Xenopus tropicalis: one gene and its partner. The protein of the gene in region 1 purifies or fractionates together with the protein of each later gene. This does not show direct contact. Links are inferred from orthologs where the notes say so. Each region holds a gene or a part of one and is shown on either strand. Other genes may lie near its edges.

Region 1 (3,755 bases):
CTGCTCAGCAGCGCCCCTTCTGCAGAGTCCCCCCGCATCATTGTCATGTGACGCATAGCTACGGCAGCCATCTTAAGGCCTGGCATATTAACCTCAACATCTGTCTTGCCAATCTAACGCATTCTTTCTGTATCCCTTATTTCTGAAGTATTTTTTTTTATTGTACTCTGTATCTTTTTATAAAAACTGTGTTGTGATTCATGATTTTATGTTTTTATGTTCTGTGAAACAAATGTTAATTATGAATTTACTATGAACTTGGTTTCAATAAAGCTCTTTGAAACCTTATTGCTGAAGTATTGCTTTCATAGTCAGTGCAAAGCTCCTGAGTGAAGGGTAAAAATGCAAAATGTCTTGGGCCCCTTTAGGGCAAAGACACACGGAGCTACTAGTAGCAGCTACTTGTCACGGCTACTAAAACAGACAATGCTGATCATTTACTGATAATTGTCTCTACATGTGTTTTAGCAGAGGCAATTCTCAGTATTGTCTATGGCAGGGTATTTTCTGGAGTTTAGTAGCTGCTACTAAGTATCTCCGTGTGTCTTTACCCTTATCTGTGTCTGAGCAAAGTGGTTTACATAAATGAATCAATCGCACCCTGCATAATCCACAGTTGCTCAACTAAAGAATAGGTAATATGTATCTATAGCATAAATAAATTTGAAGCAACTGGACTTGTTTAGTTCTCAGTTGCTTCAAATTTATTTATACTAGATATACCATGACCTGGATGAATGAAAATCTTCATAGACATGTATCTATAGCCTTCCCGAGGCTGGAAGCTCCTTATAACGTCCTTTCTGCCCAACCCTATCTCTGGATTAATGTTTCCAATCTGTCTTTGTCACATGCTATGCTTTACCCCTCACATAAAGGTTTAAGTGTTAGCGCCCTCAAGGCTAATGGCCGCCGTAGACACCAGCGGTGTGAGTCATGTGAGGAGTTCGCTGGCGTGATGACGACACCACACCCATTGAATGGCAGGGAGAAAAAGAACGCGGCATACTATTGGTTGAAGCTACAGAATAGGCGTGTCTTTCCTTGTTTTTGATTGGGCCGGCACCGCGTGACGTCAGAAAGCGGGTTGGTGGTGTGGGTGCGTAGTATTGGTGGGAGGGGACGGCGGTGCGGGGTGAGGGGATCCGCACTGTACTACAGGCACAAGGGGAGAGTCGTACGGACACGGGCATTGGGAGAGTAGTAAGGGGAGGAGGGGCGCTGAAGCAGAGGGCATGTTGCCATACAGCCGAGCTGTCTGAGAGGGGAGCCGTATTGGACATAGCCGGTGCTAATCCCTGTGGCAGAGGAGAGGGTGGAGGACCGCTATGAGGTGAGAGCTGTGCCGGGGCGCATTATTATCACCATTAAATATGATTAATGCTTTGCCTGGATTATGTGCGGGGTGGAACAGCTGCAGCCACCAATGGCTCGGCAAATGGCTGAGGGATATGGAGTTGGGCGGCCAACATGGGATTTGGGGATTCAGTTAATTACATGGCAATGCTTGCAATTCTGTATGTCAGTGATTTCCCCATGCTGATGTCCTGCAATGGAATAAACCAACATAGGGGAGCACTCTAGGGAGACAAGCAGTGCTGGCTGGGGGGCTCCACCCAAGGGAGAATGGCATAGCCATCTACCAATTCATTAATACAATGTATCTGCTACCAACAGCAGCATCCTTCTGTCTATATGCCTTGTGTTTCTGACTCCTGAAACAATGTAGCAGAACCCTGGGCAGATGTGACATTGCAACACTGTTTCACAAGTCAAGGCTAAACACATAAATGTTGCCTGAAAAGCAATTACATTTACTCAAAACTTTGAGCTTTAACATAAAGTGGAAACCTACTTACAACTGCATATTCTTCAACTAATAATAACTACAAAAGATATAAACACATTTTATTGACCCAAGGTCCTTGTAATGCTTCTATAGGGGGCCAGTACATTGACTTACATAGGCATTGAGACCCCATGGTTTTCTTTGTATATATAAACCGTCATATAGAGGGGCACCTCTCTGAACAAATATGGCTTACTGCTATGTATGTATGTATACAGGATCAGGGCAATAGGCATTATAGCTAAAAATATGTGTTTCCTAAATTTCAGTTTGTCATTATTATTTGGATTTTAGATGGAATTTAAATTAAGTAGCAGTGCCATATTTATCATGAATTGTAATGTAAAAATGATCTATATCTATCTATCCTTCCTCCTGGTAAGGGCGGTCCAATTTCTGTTTGAAGTGCGTTTCCCAGGTATTCATTTTTTAGGAATCTGTTGCCTTCTAAGGTGTCATTTAGTCTCAGCACTTTGATTTTCAGCCAATGTACAGGTATGGGATCCCTTATCCGGAAACCTGTTATCCAGAAAGTTCCAAATTATGGAAAGGCCATTGCCCATATACTCCATTATAAACAAATAATTCTAATTTTTATAAATGATTTCCCTTTTCTCTGTAATAATAAAACAGTACCTGTACTTGATCCCAACTAAGATATATTTACCCCTTATTGGGGGCAGAACAGCCCTATTGGGTTTATTTAATGGTTAAATGATTCCCTTTTCTCTGTAATAATAAAACAGTACCTGTACTTGATCCCAACTAAGATATAATTACCCCTTATTGGGGGCAGAACAGCCCTATTGGGTTTATTTAATGGTTAAATGATTCCCTTTTCTCTGTAATAATAAAACAGTACCTGTACTTGATCCCAACTAAGATATAATTACCCCTTATTGGGGCAGAACAGCCCTATTGGGTTTATTTAATGGTTAAATGATTCCCTTTTCTCTGTAATAATAAAACAGTACCTGTACTTGATCCCAACTAAGATATAATTACCCCTTATTGGGGGCAGAACAGCCCTATTGGGTTTATTTAATGGTTAAATGATTCCCTTTTCTCTGTAATAATAAAACAGTACCTGTACTTGATCCCAACTAAGATATATTTACCCCTTATTGAGGCAGAACAGCCCTATTGGGTTTATTTAATGGTTAAATGATTCCCTTTTCTCTGTAATAATAAAACAGTACCTGTACTTGATCCCAACTAAGATATAATTACCCCTTATTGGGGCAGAACAGCCCTATTGGGTTTATTCAATATTTAAATGATGTTTAGGAGATTTAAGTTACGGAGATCCAAATTATGGAAAGATCCCTTATCCGCAAAACCCCAGGTCCTGAGCATTCTGGATAGCAGGTCCCATACCTGTACTTGCACCTAGATGGTTAGCCCTAGGGGAATTTCTGTGCTCTAGAGTGTAAGCTCTTGTGAGCAGGTTGGGGGGCACTTGTGCTAGTTTTTCCTCACTGTTGTGGAAGCTCTAATGTTTGATAAATGATGAAAAGGCTTGGCTATATGGGAAGTCTCACCCCCTTACACAGTGACCCCACCCCCCCATGTTTGTAGGTCACCGCTCCCATCACAGCTTTGGCAGGTTTTTATATTGCCTCCTTCCTAGTGATAACGTGCAGCGCTGGATTAGGAGACATGACGCAAGCAGCTAATGTTTCAGAGCAATCGTGGTATCTGGGCTTCGTACACTTTCTCATTCTCCCTATGAAGGGATCCTCTGTGAGGAACGACCCACCCTATTCTGGCTTGTACTCCTATTCATTCATTGCTTGTCCTTTCATTGCTGTTGGCTGTGCTGAGTAATTTGGTGTACTACCAACATTAGAGATCATTGTACGGTCGTATTTCGAAATAGTCTCGCTACTAACCATTCGTGTTCCGA
Region 2 (3,655 bases), on another chromosome or scaffold:
GCGTCGCCTTCTTAGATTCTTACTCTTCTATGTTAGTTAAGCAATAGTACTGTCTTGGAAATGACCCACTACATTATTGCTGTAAAAAATTGATAAATAGGTCTCCCATTCTCCTGTAATAAATTGCCCTTTCCTTTTCAGTATAATTTACGCATGCACAGACAACATGTTGTTAGGTCTTAAAGTAATCTGTATGCTGACTTTACATTGACAGCTAAAACATTTTAACTTTCTTTAGTTATGTTAATACATGAATAATTATTTGTGAATGTAATTGTTATTTAAACTGGTCTTTTCGTATTCTCTGCCCTTATTTTATTGATATGTGTGAATGCAGATCATCTTTTTCCATCTGTATAAATGATGTGGTCACATCTTTAAAATCAATATGAAAAAAAATTATGTTCTTATGGGGGAACAGGGAGACCCACCCTAAGCAGCAAAGGGGCCTAATTTTAGGACCCTACCTTTAGATAAAAATTCCTTCCTTAAAGCTTTGTACTGCCGTTTGCCAGCCAGACCCCTCCGACTTAAATCTGCACCTGATCCATCCCTAGCAACTGTGTTGGCACTGTACTTGAATTCCACACTAATATGGCCTGAACTCTCATGCATTATTAACCTCCAACACATTATGCTGTAGTAGAGTGGAAATCCTGTGACCTAGTACATTACTGAGTATGGCATAATATCCTTCCTTGGATCCTGTTTTGAGTTTCTAAGTAAATGTTTTTGTAGAAATATTAATTGAATTTTTTTAATGCGTTATTGTTTCCATTTTACTGACTATTTTATTTCTTTTTGCTTCCCTAATTTGTACATCCCAGGAGTTTTTTGTAGCCCTGCAGCTGGTAGCATGTGCACAGAATGGAATGGAAGTCTGCCTTAGTAGTCTTAAAGCTGTGGTTCCCCCTCCCAGATTTGTAGGTGTATATTTTGCTTTTATGTATATGTTTATATTCTGTTTCCTTAAATAATTTACCGACCTGTTAATAATTGACATTTTTAATATTCCCCAAAATGACGTTACGCATTAGAATATGTAAGTACCAATGCATTGCAATTATTTGTTACTTAGTTTGTAAAAGTGTGTTGCTAGTTTTGTAGGGAGTATTTTAGTCTGCAGTGTGATATCATATTAATTTCTTTTATATAAGATTGGGAAATTATATAACTGAATCTTTAAGACATTTAGAGCCAGGTTTTAACATGGCCACTCGGTTAAATCTGTTAAGGTACATGCTCAATGTATTTGTCTGCTGTTGATAAGTGAATTCCCCACCTGTTTCTGCAGGATGCAGGAAGCCCACCCTTATTTGGAACAGCAGTAACTACAGACATACCATGGGCTGTCAAGGTAAGTGGTAGAGCATGTCCTATGTTTTTAGATGGAGTAACCTAGTCAAACCTCCAACTGTCATAGAATGTGTATAGTATGTTTTGTTTGTACATCATGTCCAGATGTTTAGTAACAATTTTTATTTTATTTATTTTTTTACATATGGCAGCCAGACGAAAAGGCCAAATACGATGCCATATTTGACAGTTTAAACCCAGTGAATGGATTCCTGTCTGGTGATAAGGTTAAACCTGTGTTGCTTAATTCAAAACTTTCTGTGGAAATTCTGGGAAGAGTAAGTACTGACTCTGACACTTCACTTCCCTTTAATCCCATCTAGCTTTTTCTGTAGCCATGAAATTTTCTTTATCATTTTTAGGTTTGGGAGTTAAGTGATATCGACCATGATGGTTTATTAGACAGAGATGAGTTTGCTGTTGTAAGTACATCTTTTTTTTTTTTTTAGTTTATTACTGTGTACCATGAAATAACTTCATAGTTAATCATTTGTGGCCCTCAGACTGATAAAAGCTAAAGCTGTCCAAGAATGCTGGTAATTCTTTCTAAAAAAAGTTATCGTGGAAATAAAAAATGACCAGCACAGCCCAGGACTAGAATCAGTACCTGGAACCTCCCACATTCTATCAACTTTGAGATGTTGGTCTGGAAGGTCATTGCTATAAAAATTACTGTAGGCTTTTATGTTTGTTTCTTGAAAACTGCACAAGAAAATACAATTAACAAAACTCAGGCCTATGTGACGCCCAAGGTTTAAGGCTCTGGCAGATTTTGTCTGCTGCCCAGTGTAGACTAAAAGTGGTCAAAATGCCAGTCTGCCGGTTACCACTTTTGATAGTAATGAATGAAACGTAATGTATCTGCTGGAAAACATGCCTTGTGCTATTGTCCTTCGGTTTTCTGTATGTGCAAAGCAAGACAGTTTCCCTTGTTTGGGGTGCAAAGCTTCCAAAGTGGAATGTAGTGGAAGCATTTTTGTCAAAACCCAGAGCTGGCTGAAAGTGGGATGTCCCTGGTACCAACCCAGCCAGCTGCTTCTGTGCTGTGTTTTTCAAAAGTATGTTAAGATAATGCACAAACAAGGTTAATCTATGTAAAGCTATGCTGAATGTGTTGCACAGCATACATAAATACATTTTTTGTGCACTTTTAAAGGGTGCATGTATTTCACTTTTCACTTTAAAAAAAAAAAAAAAAATGCCCTGCATTTATCTTGTTTTGTCATGAAAGTTGGTTTTTATTTTTCCTTGGCCACTGAAAACCTAATATTATAGCAAATTTTTCTTGAGGATAAATCTTTAGAGAGCAAAATATTAAGTGGTTTGCCTTTAATCTCACAGGCGATGTTTCTTGTATACTCTGCTCTTGAGAAAGAGCCAGTTCCCATGTCATTACCTCATACTCTGGTACCACAATCCAAGAGGAAAGTCTCCATTTCTTCTGCATCTTTACCAGTCATTCCCACTTTACCTATGCCACCTTCTAAAGAGTCGCGGCAATCGCTGCCACCAGTTGGAATTTTGCCCACAAAGGTTCAAGTGACCCAGGTAGGTTTTTTTTTAACTTTTTATACTACATATATCAATGTGTAAAAGATTTGGTCAGATCATTTACTTAAAGTGGACCTGTCATCCAGACATAAAAAGCTGTATAATAAAAGCCCTTTTCAAATTAAACAAGAAACCCAAAATCATGTTTTTATTACCACATCCATACCCATTATAAAAGCATTTTAAAATCCCAGCTGTCAATCATATAATGCCTGCCCCGCCTCTATGCCTTAGGCATAGAGGTGGGGCAGACAGTTACTTTCACTTTCAGTTCAGAACCTCTTAGATGTTGCTGCACCCCTCACATTCCCCTCCCTCCTCACCATGTAATTGTGTAACCAGTGCATGGACATTGGGCCTCAGGTCCCCCCATACTGGCACAAAAAAAGGTTATTGGCAGGATGCAATGCCTGCTTTGATAACAGTGTCCACAAAATGGCCCCTGCCTGCTTACTGCAATTGTGAATTCCAAGGCTGAAGAAAATAAGATTAAAATAATTTATACAGTGTAAGTAAAGTTTATTTTGCTTGCCAAACACAATAGAAAACAATTTGAAATTATTTCTTAAGGTGACAGGTCCGCTTTAAAGACTGGAAAAGTATGCAATCTGTTAATTGGCAAAACATGGTTTGTGAGTTCCATCCTGTGGTTTCTGAAATTTCTAGAGAAATAACTAACCTGTGAATAGAGCATGTTTCATTTACCCAATTTCTTCTGCAAGCTTCAGTTGTAATTTAGTAACCTGCG

The links.
Region 2: the proteins of itsn1 (region 1) and eps15 purify together in Homo sapiens (co-immunoprecipitation; 3 studies listed by BioGRID and IntAct, with this or other methods). This does not show direct contact. The link is inferred for Xenopus tropicalis from reciprocal best matches to the Homo sapiens genes ITSN1 and EPS15.

The regions. Positions count from the first base shown.
Region 1 is NC_030678.2:14,138,271-14,142,025, forward strand, and holds the start of itsn1 (intersectin-1), read left to right. Parts: upstream 1-1,099; 5' UTR 1,100-1,333; intron 1,334-3,755. UniProt on the Homo sapiens protein: Adapter protein that provides a link between the endocytic membrane traffic and the actin assembly machinery. Acts as a guanine nucleotide exchange factor (GEF) for CDC42, and thereby stimulates actin nucleation mediated by WASL and the ARP2/3 complex.
Region 2 is NC_030680.2:96,305,611-96,309,265, reverse strand, and holds part of eps15 (epidermal growth factor receptor substrate 15), read left to right. Parts: intron 1-827; coding exon 828-923; intron 924-1,294; coding exon 1,295-1,357; intron 1,358-1,508; coding exon 1,509-1,634; intron 1,635-1,718; coding exon 1,719-1,778; intron 1,779-2,697; coding exon 2,698-2,904; intron 2,905-3,655. UniProt on the Homo sapiens protein: Involved in cell growth regulation. May be involved in the regulation of mitogenic signals and control of cell proliferation. Involved in the internalization of ligand-inducible receptors of the receptor tyrosine kinase (RTK) type, in particular EGFR.